Linked DNA regions of Rhinolophus ferrumequinum. The protein of the gene in region 1 binds, or shares a complex with, the protein of each later gene. Links are inferred from orthologs where the notes say so. Each region holds a gene or a part of one and is shown in the gene's direction. Other genes may lie near its edges.

Region 1 (6,161 bases):
AGGGCTTCAGTGGTAAAAAAAAAAAAAAAAAAAAAAAACAGGAGAAAAGGGGGAAGAGAAACAACTAAGGCTGAGGACATCTTCTAGGAGAATTACAAAGAACAGAAGTAATTGAGGGATGAGGAGATAATGGAGAGGAAAGAAGAGAGAGATTTTAAGATGTAATTAAGAAATGATCTATCAAGCACGTAAGAATGTTAATGAAGAACTCGTGAGAATTTTTGTTTGCTGAATTGTTTCTTAGAATATGAAACTGGATTACACGGGTGACAACTTTATAAGGATTAATTACGAGCACCACCAAGCTCTATTGGTGGTAGCACAAATCAGAGCCTGAGGATCGGACACTTGCTCTGGCATGGACAGCTGAGCAATATACTTTTCCTCACACCGGACTGACATCTGTACCTCTCTGGAGAAGCCATTAATTGGACTTGGGTCTACTTTTGGGGTTATGCAGAGCAAGCTAATTCTTCTATGTGACAATCCTTATGCTTATTTACAGGCAATGCTCATGGACCCCTGAGCCTACTTCTTCCATTTCTTACAGAAAGACAGTCCAGAATAGAAAGAAGAGTAAGGCATTGGACTCGGACCTGAGTTCAAATCTAGCTCCATTACCATACTATGTATGACCTTGGGCAAACTACTCAAAATATTCGTTGAATGTGATTATGACAGTGCTACGTCCCTTCATCAACTTGATCCGATCCACTTCCTCCAGGTTTCCAGCAACTAGGTAGGTGGCGGGACCCCTCATACATAGAGATCGCAGAGGCAGGAGCAGTTATGTAGGGGATGAGAATGAGTTCCAGTTGGAACATGCTGACTTAAGATGCTTAGTGACCACTGGACTGTGGTATATGGAGCTTAGGAAGAGAAATGATCTGGATCCAGATGTGAGTCCTCAGGAGAGTATCTCCACCTTCTGAAGAGGGCTCCTTCCCCTTCCACCTTGAGGAAAATGGGCAGACTTGATATTTGGGTTACCACATTGGGGGCCGAGCTTTGGGAATGAGGCTCACTGTGTGTTTGGTAAGGGATCCTCTTCTTTGCTGGGAGCTCCTGACTTGGGTTCTCAAATGTCAACATATTGAAGAGTTGAATTCCTAGGCCTAAGTAGTCCTGGGCTCAAAATATTCAGATTCAGTAAGACTGGGGTGGGATCCAGGAATCTGCATCCAAAAAAAGAAATACTGTATTTTGGCCTTGCCTTACTAGATTCTTCTCTCCCACAGCTGCTAAAATTACAGTGGCCTGGTTCACCTTTCTTCCAAAGGTCAACTGTGGGTGGTATCCCCCAAACCCAGTCAGGTGCAAGGATACCACTGCAGGAAGAAAAGTGTTTCTTGGTCAAATCTTCCCATGTTTTTTTCTCCAGTAGAGGAGAGCCTCAGGGTTGCTTTCGAGAAGGATCATCTCATTTTTGCGGGGCGGGAGGATGTCTTGGGCCAGAGGAGCAAAAGTGTGATCCAGTGAGGAAATGCAGTCTGAGCAATATAGAGTATTTCTACTAGAGGGATCTCACCAGAGACTCCAGGGAGCCCACATGTACCTTAGGTGGTTAATGACCAGTGTGTGCAGCCGCATGTGCCAGGCAGTGGACGTTTGGGGTGCAGAGTGCCAACAGTCTCTATATTCTTCCATCACTGATACCATGTGATGACCCAGAGAGGAGAGAAGGGACACAACGGGTAACACAGAAGCTAAGGCAAAGGGCATTCAAGCCTGCGATACCCTGAGACGTGAAGTAAAAGTGTCCATTGGCTTTAGCGCAAAGGATGTCGGGGTGGACCCTGAGAGTCCCCGCGCTCATGGACCTGGCAGACTAGATGGAGCGACTGGCCTTAAGCAAGCACAGCACCTCTCCTACCCACGATGACAGAAAGGGTTAAGGATGGGTGAGCATGGGCAGTGGGGGAGGAGCACATGAAACAGCACGCCAGGCTTTGAGTGTCTTAGTCAAGTGGGATGCACAGGTCAAGCGACAAGGTGAAAGATGTCCACATCTTAATGCCTGAAACCTGTGAATATGTCACCTTTCATGGAAAATAAGGACTCTGCAGATGTGAGTTAAAGAGTTTGACATGGGGAGATTAACTACCCTGGATTATCCGGCAGACTCAAAGAACTCACAGGACCTTAATCAGAGGCAGACAGGAGGGTCAGGTCAGAGAAAGAGATGTGGAAACAGAAGCAGGAGAGGTCTCTGAAGATGAAGGAAGGGGCCACAAGCCACGCAATGTAGGCAGCCTCTAGGAGCTAAAAAAAGGCAAGGAAAGGACTAGCCCCTCGAGCCTCCAGAAGGACTGAGGCCGTGACACCTTGATTTTAGCCCACTAAGAGTGATTGTGGACTTCTGACCTCCAGAATTGTAAGATAATACATTTGTGTTTAATGCCATTAAACTTGTGATAATTTGTTACAGCAGCAATAGACAACTAATACAAGCTCTTACAGCAATCCAAGGCAGTAAAACATGGACTAAGCAGCTGCAGATTTCTGAGAATTTAAGAGGGGGGGTTGAAGAGAAGGAAAACATGATTCTAAGTTAAATATGTCTTATCATGTAAGTTCTTTTGAAATAAAGCCAAGTAATCCAAGTTGGCCATGCAAACCCCTGAAAAACAGAGGCAAGTAAACTATTAAGTAAAGTAAACTATTTTGCCGGCAGCCAGGCATAGAAAAAAGTACTTTTCTGTTCTTTCAAAACTCTATGCTATCTCATCCTCCACCCATTGAACCAAGAAGCTGAGATTTATTTCTGAAATGAGTTTGGCTGCCCCTGTCAGGTCGTCACAAAGCTCAAGAGACTGGACTTGGTCCTTTTCTTCTCTCACATCCTACAAGGAGCCAAGAGCATCCTCAGTAAGCTCCTTAGAGAAAGCCCACCATGGTAGTCACTGCCTTTTATGAAGAGCACGTGGCTGCACAACGTAAGGCTGGATTCTGGGTGCCTTGAGAGTGACAGGTGTCAGCACCAACATGCTCAGCTTCAGAGATGGCATGGGAGGCAGTGGCCAAGCAGCCTCAGAGACACACGTCAAGTCCCATCAAGGTGTGTCCACAGCACATGCCCGGGAAGAAGTTGTAGTCAGGAGAGCTTGGCCACTGCTAGCTGGATATCTTTGAGTGAGCTATGTACCTAAGGGCCTGAAACGTTCTCATCAGTGGGACTCTGTAGGGTCTAATTTCATTGCTGAACCATGACCTAGATGAAGGAGGAATATGTGTACAAATACGTGTCCAAAAAGATTCCTCTGCAGGTTGTCCGAAGGAACAAGTGAGACAGAGGTTCTTGGCAGTAACCATGGCAGCAACTAGTCCTGCTAAAATCTAAATCAGATGGTGTCAAATCTCTGCTCAAAATTCTCTAGTGCTTTCCCACCTCACAGTCAGAGCCAAAGTTCTAGCAATGGCTCATGAGGCCCAATGCTCTACCCGCCGTCTTACTTCTGCCATCTCATGTCCTTGTCCTTGCTCTCTCCACACCAGCCACATTCTTCTTGGGATCCTCTCTAACTTGGAGGCTGCAAACTTTTTCCGTAAAGGCCCAGGGAGTCAATATGTATTTTCAACTTTGCAAGCCAGAGTCTTTGTTGCAATGACTCAACCAACACAGCCATAGATAATACATAAACAAATGAGCGTGGCTGTGTCCCAATAAAATTTTATTTACAAAAACAGGTTGCAGGCCACAGTTTGCTAACCCTGTTCTAACTCATCAGTCACATGTCCCTCTCCAGTCCTCTACGTCTGTTGCTGTGATATACACATGGCACTCTCCCTCACCTCCTTTAGGTCTCCATCAGTGTCACTGTCTCAGGGAGCCCTGCCAGGCACATTAGCATGCCGCCCTCCCCATTCCCCTTCCCTGCTTTGTCTCTTTTGCCCTTAACATCTTCATATATATATGTATATGTATATACACACACACACACTCACATATATACATATACATATATATTAAAAATTGTCTCTCTCCCCAACCCCCACTGACTAAAATGTAAACTGTAAAAGGGCAGAGAATTTTTTTTCCACTGTTGCCTTGTATTCCCAGCTGCCTTGCACATACCAAGCACTCAATAAATACTGATTGGATACATCAAGTTTGAGAAAAAGGTAAGTCACCTCAAAAACACGACCCCAAATCTACCCTAACATAGGACAGTTTCCCCTACCTAGAAAGGCCCAGGTCACTGCATTACATCATAATCAGCGATGTCATCACTGGAGAAATTCTCAAGTTGCCCTGATTTTTAAGCCTTTCGGACCTTGAAGCCGGTGGGATCAAGGAACCTTCTGAAAGCAAGATGGCTCTTGATAGCGTGTGGGATGCACAGGCAGCAATCACAGGGGATGGGCCTGACAAGAGAGAGAGTGCCTCCCCACACACACAGGTCACCCAGACTGCCTCCGTGAAGGAGGGCCCAGCCAAGAGGGCAGTGCGGGTCCGCCATTCGGAGTCGGAAGAACCTACCAAATCGACCGCAGTCAAGAAGCCCAAGGCAGTCGTGACCAAAGCGGTGGTCGTGGACCTTGGCACTGGCTACTGTAAATGTGGCTTTGCTGGGCTGCCAAAGCCCAGCCACAAGATCTCATCGACAGTGGGCAAGCCCTACATGGAGACCGCCAAAACCGGGGACAACCGCAAAGAGACATATGTGGGTCAGGAGCTCATCAATCCACAGGTGCGTCTCAAGCTAACGAACCCTCTGCGACACGGCATCATCGTGGACTGGGATTCGGTGCAGGATATCTGGGAATATCTCTTCCATCAGGAGATGAAGATCGCCCCACAGGAGCATGCGGTCTTGGTTTCGGACCCACCCCTCAGCCCACACACCAACAGAGAGAAGTACGCTGAAATGCTGTTTGAAACCTTCAGCACGCCTGCAATGCACATTGCCTACCAGTCCCGCCTGTCCATGTACTCCTACGGAAGGACGTCCGGCATGGTCGTGGAGGTCGGCCACGGTGTGTCCTACGTAGTCCCCATCTACGAGGGTTATCCTCTGCCCAGCATCACCGGACGGCTGGACTATGCAGGCTCTGATCTGACAGCCTACTTGATGGGCCTGATGAACAACGCAGGAAAACACTTCACCAAGGACCAGGTGGCCATCGTGGAGGGCATCAAGGAGAAATGCTGCTACGTGGCCCTGGACCCCATCGAAGAGAAGAAAGACCCGGCTACTGAGCGTGCACTCCAGTACACCCTGCCGGATGGGCAGGAGATAGACCTGTACCAGGAAAGGTTCCTCTGCTCAGAGATGTTCTTCAAGCCTTCTCTGATCAAGTCCATGCAGCTGGGCCTCCACACCCAGACAGTGTCCTGCCTGAACAAGTGTGACATCGCCCTCAAACGGGACCTCATGGGGAACATCCTGCTCTGCGGGGGCAGCACTATGCTCCGCGGCTTCCCTAACCGTCTGCAGAAAGAGCTGAGTACCATGTGTCCCAATGACACCCCCCAGGTAAACGTGTTGCCCGGAAGAGACAATGCAGTGTGGACAGGAGGCTCCATCCTGGCATCACTTCAGGGCTTCCAACCCCTGTGGGTCCTTCGCTCTGAGTACGAAGAACATGGGCCTTTCTTCCTCTACAGAAGGTGCTTCTGAACTCTGATGAAGCATGGTCGCTGTGGCTGCTGTCACCTCTGCTGGGTGAGCACCCAGCCCAGATATGGAGCCGAGCCAGCATGTTCCCTCGGCAGTATTAAACAATCCTGTTCCCCGCCACAGTGTTTCTGTATTGCTTGACTTAATGAAAACCACTTCATACACGCAGCATCTGCCTTAAAATACACATTTGCCAACACAAAAATGGAGGTGGTGGGGTGGACGACGGGCAGAAAAGACATGCACTCCATGACTACTGCTTAAACATTCTTGGGAAAAACTAGCTCTAAAATTATTCTGTCCCTTATTTTGTGTATTTCCCACTTGAGGAACTACTGTCATGTTAAAATCTGCTTGGACGGGCGAGTGTGATGAGGGTAGATTATAGAGTAAATGCAGTTGTGGCATCTAAGAAGACCCCCTTTGATGAACACCAACAGGAAGTACGTTGTAACGGTTCACTGTCCCACAAAGCATCTGAATACCGGTGTCTGGCTCTGACCACAAGAGTTGTTCTCCAGTATCACCTTGTAGATTCCA
Region 2 (7,988 bases), on another chromosome or scaffold:
GGGTAATTATCTGAAGAAACCCAAAATGCTACTTTGAGGGATGTGTGTATTCAAATGTTTATTGCAGCATTGTTTACAATAACCAAGATGTGGAGGCAGCTGGGGTGTCCATCGATGGATGAATGGATAAAGAGGAGGTTGTGCATACATACCATGCAATTTTGCTCAGCTAGGGAAGTGAATGGGTTCTTGCCATCTGTGGTGGCATGGGTGGGCCTGGAGGGTGCTGTGCTGAGTGGAGTATGTCAGACAGAGAAAGACAGATGCAAGGTGACTTTGCTTATATGTGAAATCTAAAGAACAAAATAAACAAATAAACAAAACAGAAACAAACACATAGATACAGAGAACATTTTGATGGTTTCCAGATGGGAAGAGGGTTGGTAATGTGTGAAAAAGGGGAAGGGATTAGAAAGTACAAACTGGTAGTTACAAAACAGTTATGGGGATGTAAAGTAAAGCACCAGGAATATGATCAATAATATGGTAATAACTATGTACAGTGCCAGGTGGGTACTAGTCAGGGAATCGCTCCTTAAATTACATAAATGTCTCATCACTATGCTCTACACCTGAAATTTATAGAAAATAATATTGAATGTCAACTGTAATTGAAAAATTAAAAAAGGGGAAAAGGAGAAGGGCAATGATAGATTCAAATTTCCAGGTATAAAACAAATAAGTCATGGGGAAGTAGTGTACAGCATGGGGCATATAGTCAATAATATTGTGATAGCGCGATACAGTGTCAGATGGTTGCTGGACTTATCATGGTCATCACTTCTTTAGGTATATAAATGTTGAATAACTATGATGTATACCTGAAATTAATATAATACTGCATGTTAGCTATAATTTAATAAAAATCTTTTTTAAAAAACACAGCATGCTTTTGGGAATTCCTAACTCTGTTCCCTTCTCGGGCTATTGAGCACTTGAAGTATGACTAGTGCGAGTGAAAAGCTGAATTTTAAATATTAATTAATGTCCAGTATTTAAATTAATTTAATTAATTAAAATTTAAATAACCACATGTGGTTCCTGGCTACCATATCAGAGAATGCTTCTCTAGCTTTTCACTTTCCACCGCCTCTTCTGCACCATCCTACTCCATTTTGATTTCCCTACATGCAGTTTCTTATTGTGGGACCCTCTCCTAGAAATGAGTCCAGGAGGGTCAGTTTTGAGATCTCCCACTGGTGAGATTGCTTTAGCCCCTTTAGTCATTCTTACTGTTTCAGTTGCTGTTAGAAAATTGGCCTGCAGTGTTTTAAAATGAATTATTAGAGAAAAACATCTTGAGTTCCGTCCATCAGACACCACTGTATTGTTTCCCTTCCTATCTCCACAAATTGTTTATATGTACATATCTTGTGGCTTTTGGTGGTTTGGCCTCACTGCTATGTTTTGGGGTTTAAGGAGATACCTGGTCACCTAGTTTTGTTGTAAAGGTTTTCCAAGGGTTTTTGATTTTGCTAATTAGTTGGTCTGTTTTTTGTTGTTTTTTAATGTGGGTTTGAGAGAGATTGAAAATTATGCAGCCCTCAACCCATATCCCTAAAATGCTTTGAATAATATATTTTAAAATGAGGTTTTACCATTAAGAAAAATGTCATGCTCATCATGGAATTTCTTTTTTAAAGGAAGGAAGGAATCCCTATGGACCCACTAGTCAAAGGCAAACCACTGCTAACATTTTAGCGTATTTTCATGTTCTTTTTACATGGTATTTTGTAGAGTGGTGAGCACAATGTATATACAATTCTATATTCTGTTTTGTTACCGTGTTTACTATTATAAAAATTCTCAAGTATTATTGTTCAGAACCTATCATAAATCTATCATATGGATCATCCATTATTTACTTAGCTAATCCCTAGTGTTTTGTCAATAAAAACTTTTTTTTTAATAGGTAATAGTTTGCTCTGAGATGTAAAACAATGTGTAATCCTATACAAGCTGCTAATGAACAATAATGGCTATATCAGTAGCACAGGAGTTCCTCTAACAGATGTTAATAAATGATTAACATCTCTAAAGAGGGCTCCTGGGACCACATTAATAATCAAGGAAACAGATGTAGTCATCTCTATCTTGAAAATTTACTTCATCTGGTGTAGAAAACTTTCCATTGGTGTTTCTTTTCCCTAGTGCTTATGTTTACCGTGTGTGTGTTTGTATGCACATGTATTTCTGTATATGTATGCGTGTGTGCCTGTGCATTTATAATCAATCATCTGTATCTCTAGCCCAGATCTTTCTTTTGACCACCAGACTCAGACCGAATTGCCCTTGCAAAATCAATACATGCAAAACTAAACCCATTATCTTTCTCAGTCTTCCTTCTCTTCTGTTTCTAACCTTAAGGACTGAGGGTCATCTACCATACCAGTCACCCAGAATAGGTTCCCAAGAGTCATTCCAGACTCCCTCCCTTCAAACCAATGTATTAATTCCAAGATTTTCTTTCTCTTTAATAACACTGATTATTCTTCTAACTCCCCATACCCATTGCTCTACCTTACTTTGGCCATCAAATTTCATGTGGGATATAGCTAGCATGCCTCCAGTTTACCAATCATTTCATTTTTGTTAAATCCAATGGGCATTTGACCCTTCTCTACAATTTGACATTGTTGATAATTACTTCTTGAATTTCCTCTCTTGGTTGCTGGGGCTCTACTCTGGCTGTTTTTTTTTTTTTTCCTTACCCTCTAACTAGCCTCATCTCCTTTCTGTGCTTTTCTTGCTCAGCTTTGCTCAGTTGTCCTAACCAATACTGTCTTATTTTGCAGTCTCCCATGCTGATGGTATTCCACTCATGGCTTTTACTCATTTAACTATGTACGGTGTTGACTCCTAAATCACTATTCCAGTTCAGGTTTCATCTGTAAGATTTATATATAGATACTTCAATATCCCAGCCTCAAACCCATGATATTCAAAACCCATGATATTCTTCATCCCCACTACCCCCTAAAGAAAGAAAAACTAAACAAAATCCTGCCCCTCATCCTTTATTTTCTCTTTTCCTGAAGCATCTAGATAGATGATCAAGTCAGAAACATGTGTGACATCTTCTACTCACTCCTGTGTCATCAACTACCAAGTATTATCACTTCTAACTCCTTAATATATAGCTAAACACTTTACCAGCTAAATAAGGACTCACAATCCAAGCCTCCTAACTTAGTACTTATCTACCTCAATTTTATTTTCTATATAATTGGCACTGTAATGAGTCCAGATAGAAATCACTGAATTTCAACTTCCATCCTTGGCAATGATACACATAAACAGTGATGCTGGGAGGGTTGGCAGGAAAAAAGGAAGGGCAGAATTTGATGTTTAAGAAAGAAGTTTCCAGATCTTTTTCTTACTGTCATCTCTGAAATCCCACCAAATAAGCCCAGAATTTATGTTACAACATTTGTTTGATGCCTTATTTAAACTGTTTTACTGGACATTTTCCATCTGTTAATCTCCATGAAAAAGACCAAATTGCCTTGTCACAAAACTCATGTTCATTGGAGCTTACACTTGGATAAACTTTGTAGAGGCCCAAAGTTTTAGGACGGTTTGGGAAAATGGGATGGGAAACTTTTACATCAATTGAGTGACAAGAAAAATTTGTGATCCATTTTTGTCATTCCATTTTTAGTTTATTAATAGGATGAGGAAAACATTCACATTATAAATCAATGTTCTGTTGAATAATGTTAACAAATAGCCAAGTAAGCAAAGGGTTGAAAGTGTTGGCTCAAATAAACTTTGGGTGTTTCTGTTACGAAATTTCCAGAGGCACAGAGGAGAGACATTTGGACCTAAATATCTACTTTATTTGGGACTTTTTGCATTTTCAAAGTAGATGCCAGATTAGGAAATCACCTGCCGTCCACTCATTATAATCTTTTGTCATAACAACAAACTGGAAAACAAAGGACTCTTTTCTCTTTTACTTAAATCAAAAAGCTGTTTTGACAGTCCCAAATTTGCTGGAGACTCATTTGCTTACAGACTCATGAACACTAGCTCTGCCCCAAGAGAGTAAGAAAGCGGGCAGGTTCTTGCCCCTCTGGTGTCCTCAGTTTCCTGCAAAATGAGAAAGCTAGACTCAATAATCCCTAAATGCCGTCCGGATCCACCCATCTGAGAGTATTCATTGCAGTCACTCCTGAATTAGGCCATGGAACGGATCCCGTGCAGTTGCTCCAGTGCTGCTCGTTAGTCCTATGAAACTGCTTCATCCCAGCAAGAGACACATGAGCAGCCTCACACCATCTCACGTAGCAGGGACAAAGAACAAGCCTCTACTTCCAAAGGAATGGCCCAACCTGTCTCCGAAGTGAATCACACCATCCTCATTTTTGAATAATCAAAGACTCAGAAAACATATGTAGGAATCTTCACTGAGATCAGGAGGTTCCTTGCCAGTGCTTGGGATTATGGGGAAAGCATTTGAGAAAAGTCCATACCCACAACTCAACAGTGAAATTAGGGTGCATTGGCCATCACAGTGATCCCTACGAATGTTCATAGTAGCTTCTCTTTCTCCTTGCCCTGAAAATAAACCAAGAAGCTAATGGCGGGATAAGTACTCCCCAGGACACATATCTAAGGTCCACAGGAAACACAGGTAGAAGCTGCCAGAATGGAAAGGGCTCTTCCTCATCTTCAGGGGCAGGCAAGCCGGGCCCCAGCTCTTCACAGGCTGGGGACTGACGCCCAGCGCCTCCGCGGGGCCCACGGTCGGTACTCGAGAGCTCTCGTTGGGGCCCCGCCCCTAACGCGGCCCCGCCCCTCACCTTGCCAGCGCCGCGCTCGGGCCGCCAAGGTGCGTGAGGCGCTCGGTGATTGGTGGCTGCCCGGCGCTGCCAGGCTGCCATTGGCTGTGTGGGCCTCTTTGTTCCCGGTCCCCGCCGCAGGCCGGCTGCCGCGGACTGGGCAGCGGAAGTTTCACTGCGCGGGACGGGTGGCTGCGGTAGCGGCGCCGGACAGCCATAGGTCCCCAAAGTACCCGCGGCGGAGCCGGAGGTCGGACCAGCCCGTGCGTGAGATCCCGGACCGGGGAAGGAACCTCTGACCCACCAACATGGACCTGGCGGTCAAAGTGAAGAAGGTAGGGGGCGCGGCTGGCGGCCGCCTCACCTGCGCGGGGCACCGCCCCCTGGCCGCCGGCGGTGGGTGGGGCGCGAGCCGGCTCCGGGGCGCCGGGTCCCGGGCCTGTACCCGCCCCCCGGGTGGAAGGGGTGCCGGGCGGCCCGGTTAACTCCTGAAAGGCGGGCGCGCGAGCCGGGGCGGGCGCAGGACTTTTCTCTCCGGTCTAACCGCTTCCGACGGTTAGAAGTGCCTGCCACTTCCCGTAGAACGTCTCGGCTGCGCCTGTGCCTCCCGAAGAGAAGTGCGTGAGGTTAGGGCGAGTGCGGGCGAGACCGTGCGCCGCTTCTTCCTGTCTCAGGAAGTTCGCTTTCAGCCTCTGCGATCCGGGAGCGGTGCTGTGACTTTGACAGCTCAGCCCTCCTCCCCGCCCTGCTCGCTGCTCGGCGCTCCTAAGGACAGTGCTGATTGAATGCACTCCGCGCTCCGCGCCTGGGAGAACGTGGGAGGTGATGATTTTTTTTTTTCTTTTTTGGTCATTCATTTCTTGATTTCCAAAGCACTGCCTCCCTCGTAGGAAGTTACTTCTCATAGAAAACGTTCTCCCTTGCTGGCAGCTCGCCCGAAACGGTGATTGTCACCAGTGCTTTTAGTGCCCGGTGACGTTTCCCGCGTGGCTGTCCCCGACGTCGGGACCCACCGCCCTACCTGAGACGCCCCCCCCCCCCGCCCCGCCGTATGGGAGCCTCAGGTCCCCTGCGAGGAAAGGGTGGGAACCAGACTGTGAGTCAAACGGAATGCTGGTATCACATTCCAGTGTAACGTTCTGTGGGAAATGTCTCATTCCAATGAATTGCTCATATTTACTTTTCGGTAAATTTAAGCTAGCTGTCTCTTATCAAATAGGGAAGGAAGTTTTGCAGAGAGAATAGAACCTAATTTTCTTTTTTGCCCATCATAGTTGCCAATATTGCTATTTCATCTTCTAAAGACAAAGCTCTTGATTTGAGCATTAATTCTGTTCATGCTCAGAACTGGAATTTTGAAAATGTACAAAAATGCAAAATATTAGGTTAGGAAGGCATTGAAAAATAAAAACTTAGAGTGGGAAAACAGTTTGTCGCTTATGACTAGAACCAGCTTTCAAAAAGGAACCCAAGGACCGGAAAGATAATGCAAAATTTAAGAGTAACGTGATTGCATTCTATTCTCTTCCATTTGGTTTCTTGTTTCATTTGCTTTTAAACGACACTAATATTTTTTGTTAATCTTGCTTGCCACTAAAAGCATTTTGGTTGCTGCTCAGCCTTCTGTTGATGAACAGTGTTTATTTTGTAACAGCTACTTAATTTAGTACTTGTCTAAAATTTGGGGGGTGGAAGTCTTGTCGTGCTTACAAATATTGATTCAAAAACTTTTAAAAGTTAACATCCTTTGGAGGGAGGGCTGAATAGGTGAAGCAGGGAATTTTTTTTAGGGCATTGAAACAATTCTCTATGATACTATAATGGTGGACACACGTCATTATATTATGTTTGTCAAAATCCATAGAATAAATAACACCAAGAGTGAACCCTAATAAGAACTATGGACTTTGGAGGATAATGATGTGTCGGTGTAGGTTTATCAGTTGTAACAAATAGACCACTGTGGTGTGGGATATAGACACTGGCGAAAGCTGAGTGGGTTGAAGATATATGGGAATTCTGCCCTCTGCTCAGTTTTGCTGTGAACTTAACCGTGCTCTGAAAAATAAAGTGTACTTAAAAAATAAATAAATAAATAAGTCAACATCCAAAAGTGATTTTGAAAGCATTGGAGACAAGGAAAAAGTAATTTAATGGAAGAAAGTCCAGTTAAGAATGACATGTGCTTGCAAGGGAAAAATCCAGACATTTATAAACAATTTTCTTAGTTTCAAAATGTAGATTATGATAAACAGTGCCCTTGATATGTAGTGTAAGTTTTTCTCCTCCATCTTCCCTTTACTTTAAAAGGTTATCTTTCAACTGAGAATCTTATCTTCCTCTGTAATCCTCCTCCTTTCCTTTCCCACCCCCATAAATTTAAAGCTTTTGCAGATAACTCCATGATGGTAATAAACCCAGTTACACTATCTTGTCATAGCTGGTAGTCAGGGCAGTCAACCAGTAAATTGGAAACTACTAGAAAACCCCAAAGATGTCCAGTGTGACTGCCAACCATGCCCTCTCTGTGCCTTCGTAGGACCCTAGACAGACCTGATGTTCTGTGGATTCCATACAAAGTTTCCCAGCACAGAGTTTAGAGGTCCCAGGAATACATTTCATAGTCTTAGCTGTAATCTAAAAAAAACAAAAAGAAATACACACCCCCAAAAACCCACCTTACCTTCCCTTTAGAACTTTAACTTACTAGAAGAAGAAAACATTACAAGATTATCTCTGACCTACTGGCAGAGCCTTCTCACCCTATTTTGGTACGTAGGTAGTTTTCAGGTGTCTCTTCTTTTTGACTTGGTTATACAAGAAAAGTAATCGTTTGAATGTAACTTTTTTAAAGGTAAATAAGCTTAAAAAGCTAAATAAAACTAAATTTGACTTCTGTCTTAAAATCTGTGGCATTGTTTCCTTCTAAAACCCTTATACTGTTTATTTCATAAGGAATTTTCCCCAGGCAGATGAAAAATGTCATTTATTTTTTTCCATTAACATTTTGTGTAAGGAGAATTAAAGTGGGTTGTCTTTATTCCACAACATCCTAGGTGGATGATCCTATTATGGGATTCTTGTTTTATAAAAGGAGAAGTTGGTGTCCACATCATTTGCACACATTTGGATTAATTACCAGTTAAAACCCACCGTCACAAAGACAAGGGATTTTATAATTAGATTTTGCTATATTTTGTTTTG

The links. The genes of interacting proteins can lie anywhere in the genome.
Region 2: the proteins of ACTL7A (region 1) and TES are in contact, whole or in part, in a crystal structure (PDB 2XQN), measured with the Homo sapiens proteins. The link is inferred for Rhinolophus ferrumequinum from reciprocal best matches to the Homo sapiens genes ACTL7A and TES. Residues at the interface, in NP_006678.1 of Homo sapiens: Leu28, Gln29, Thr30, Ala31, Ser32, Leu33, Arg34, Asp35, Gly36, Pro37, Ala38, Lys39, Arg40, Ala41, Val42, Trp43, Val44, Arg45, His46; in NP_056456.1 of Homo sapiens: Asn311, Glu312, Tyr313, Thr314, Gln315, Ala316, Glu317, Leu323, Phe326, Leu335, Ala336, Gly337, Glu338, Ile339, Tyr340, Val341, Tyr353, Pro370, Glu371, Val372, Gln373, Arg374, Val375, Thr376, Tyr377, Ala384, Phe389, Leu398, Ile399, Gly400.

Annotation. Positions count from the first base shown.
Region 1 is NC_046295.1:61,958,723-61,964,883, forward strand, and holds ACTL7A (actin-like protein 7A), read left to right. Parts: upstream 1-4,313; coding exon 4,314-5,621; downstream 5,622-6,161. UniProt on the Homo sapiens protein: Essential for normal spermatogenesis and male fertility. Required for normal sperm head morphology, acroplaxome formation, acrosome attachment, and acrosome granule stability.
Region 2 is NC_046309.1:26,658,315-26,666,302, reverse strand, and holds the start of TES (testin), read left to right. Parts: upstream 1-4,924; 5' UTR 4,925-5,092; coding exon 5,093-5,119; intron 5,120-5,227; exon of another isoform or gene 5,228-5,606; intron 5,607-7,988. UniProt on the Homo sapiens protein: Scaffold protein that may play a role in cell adhesion, cell spreading and in the reorganization of the actin cytoskeleton. Plays a role in the regulation of cell proliferation. May act as a tumor suppressor. Inhibits tumor cell growth.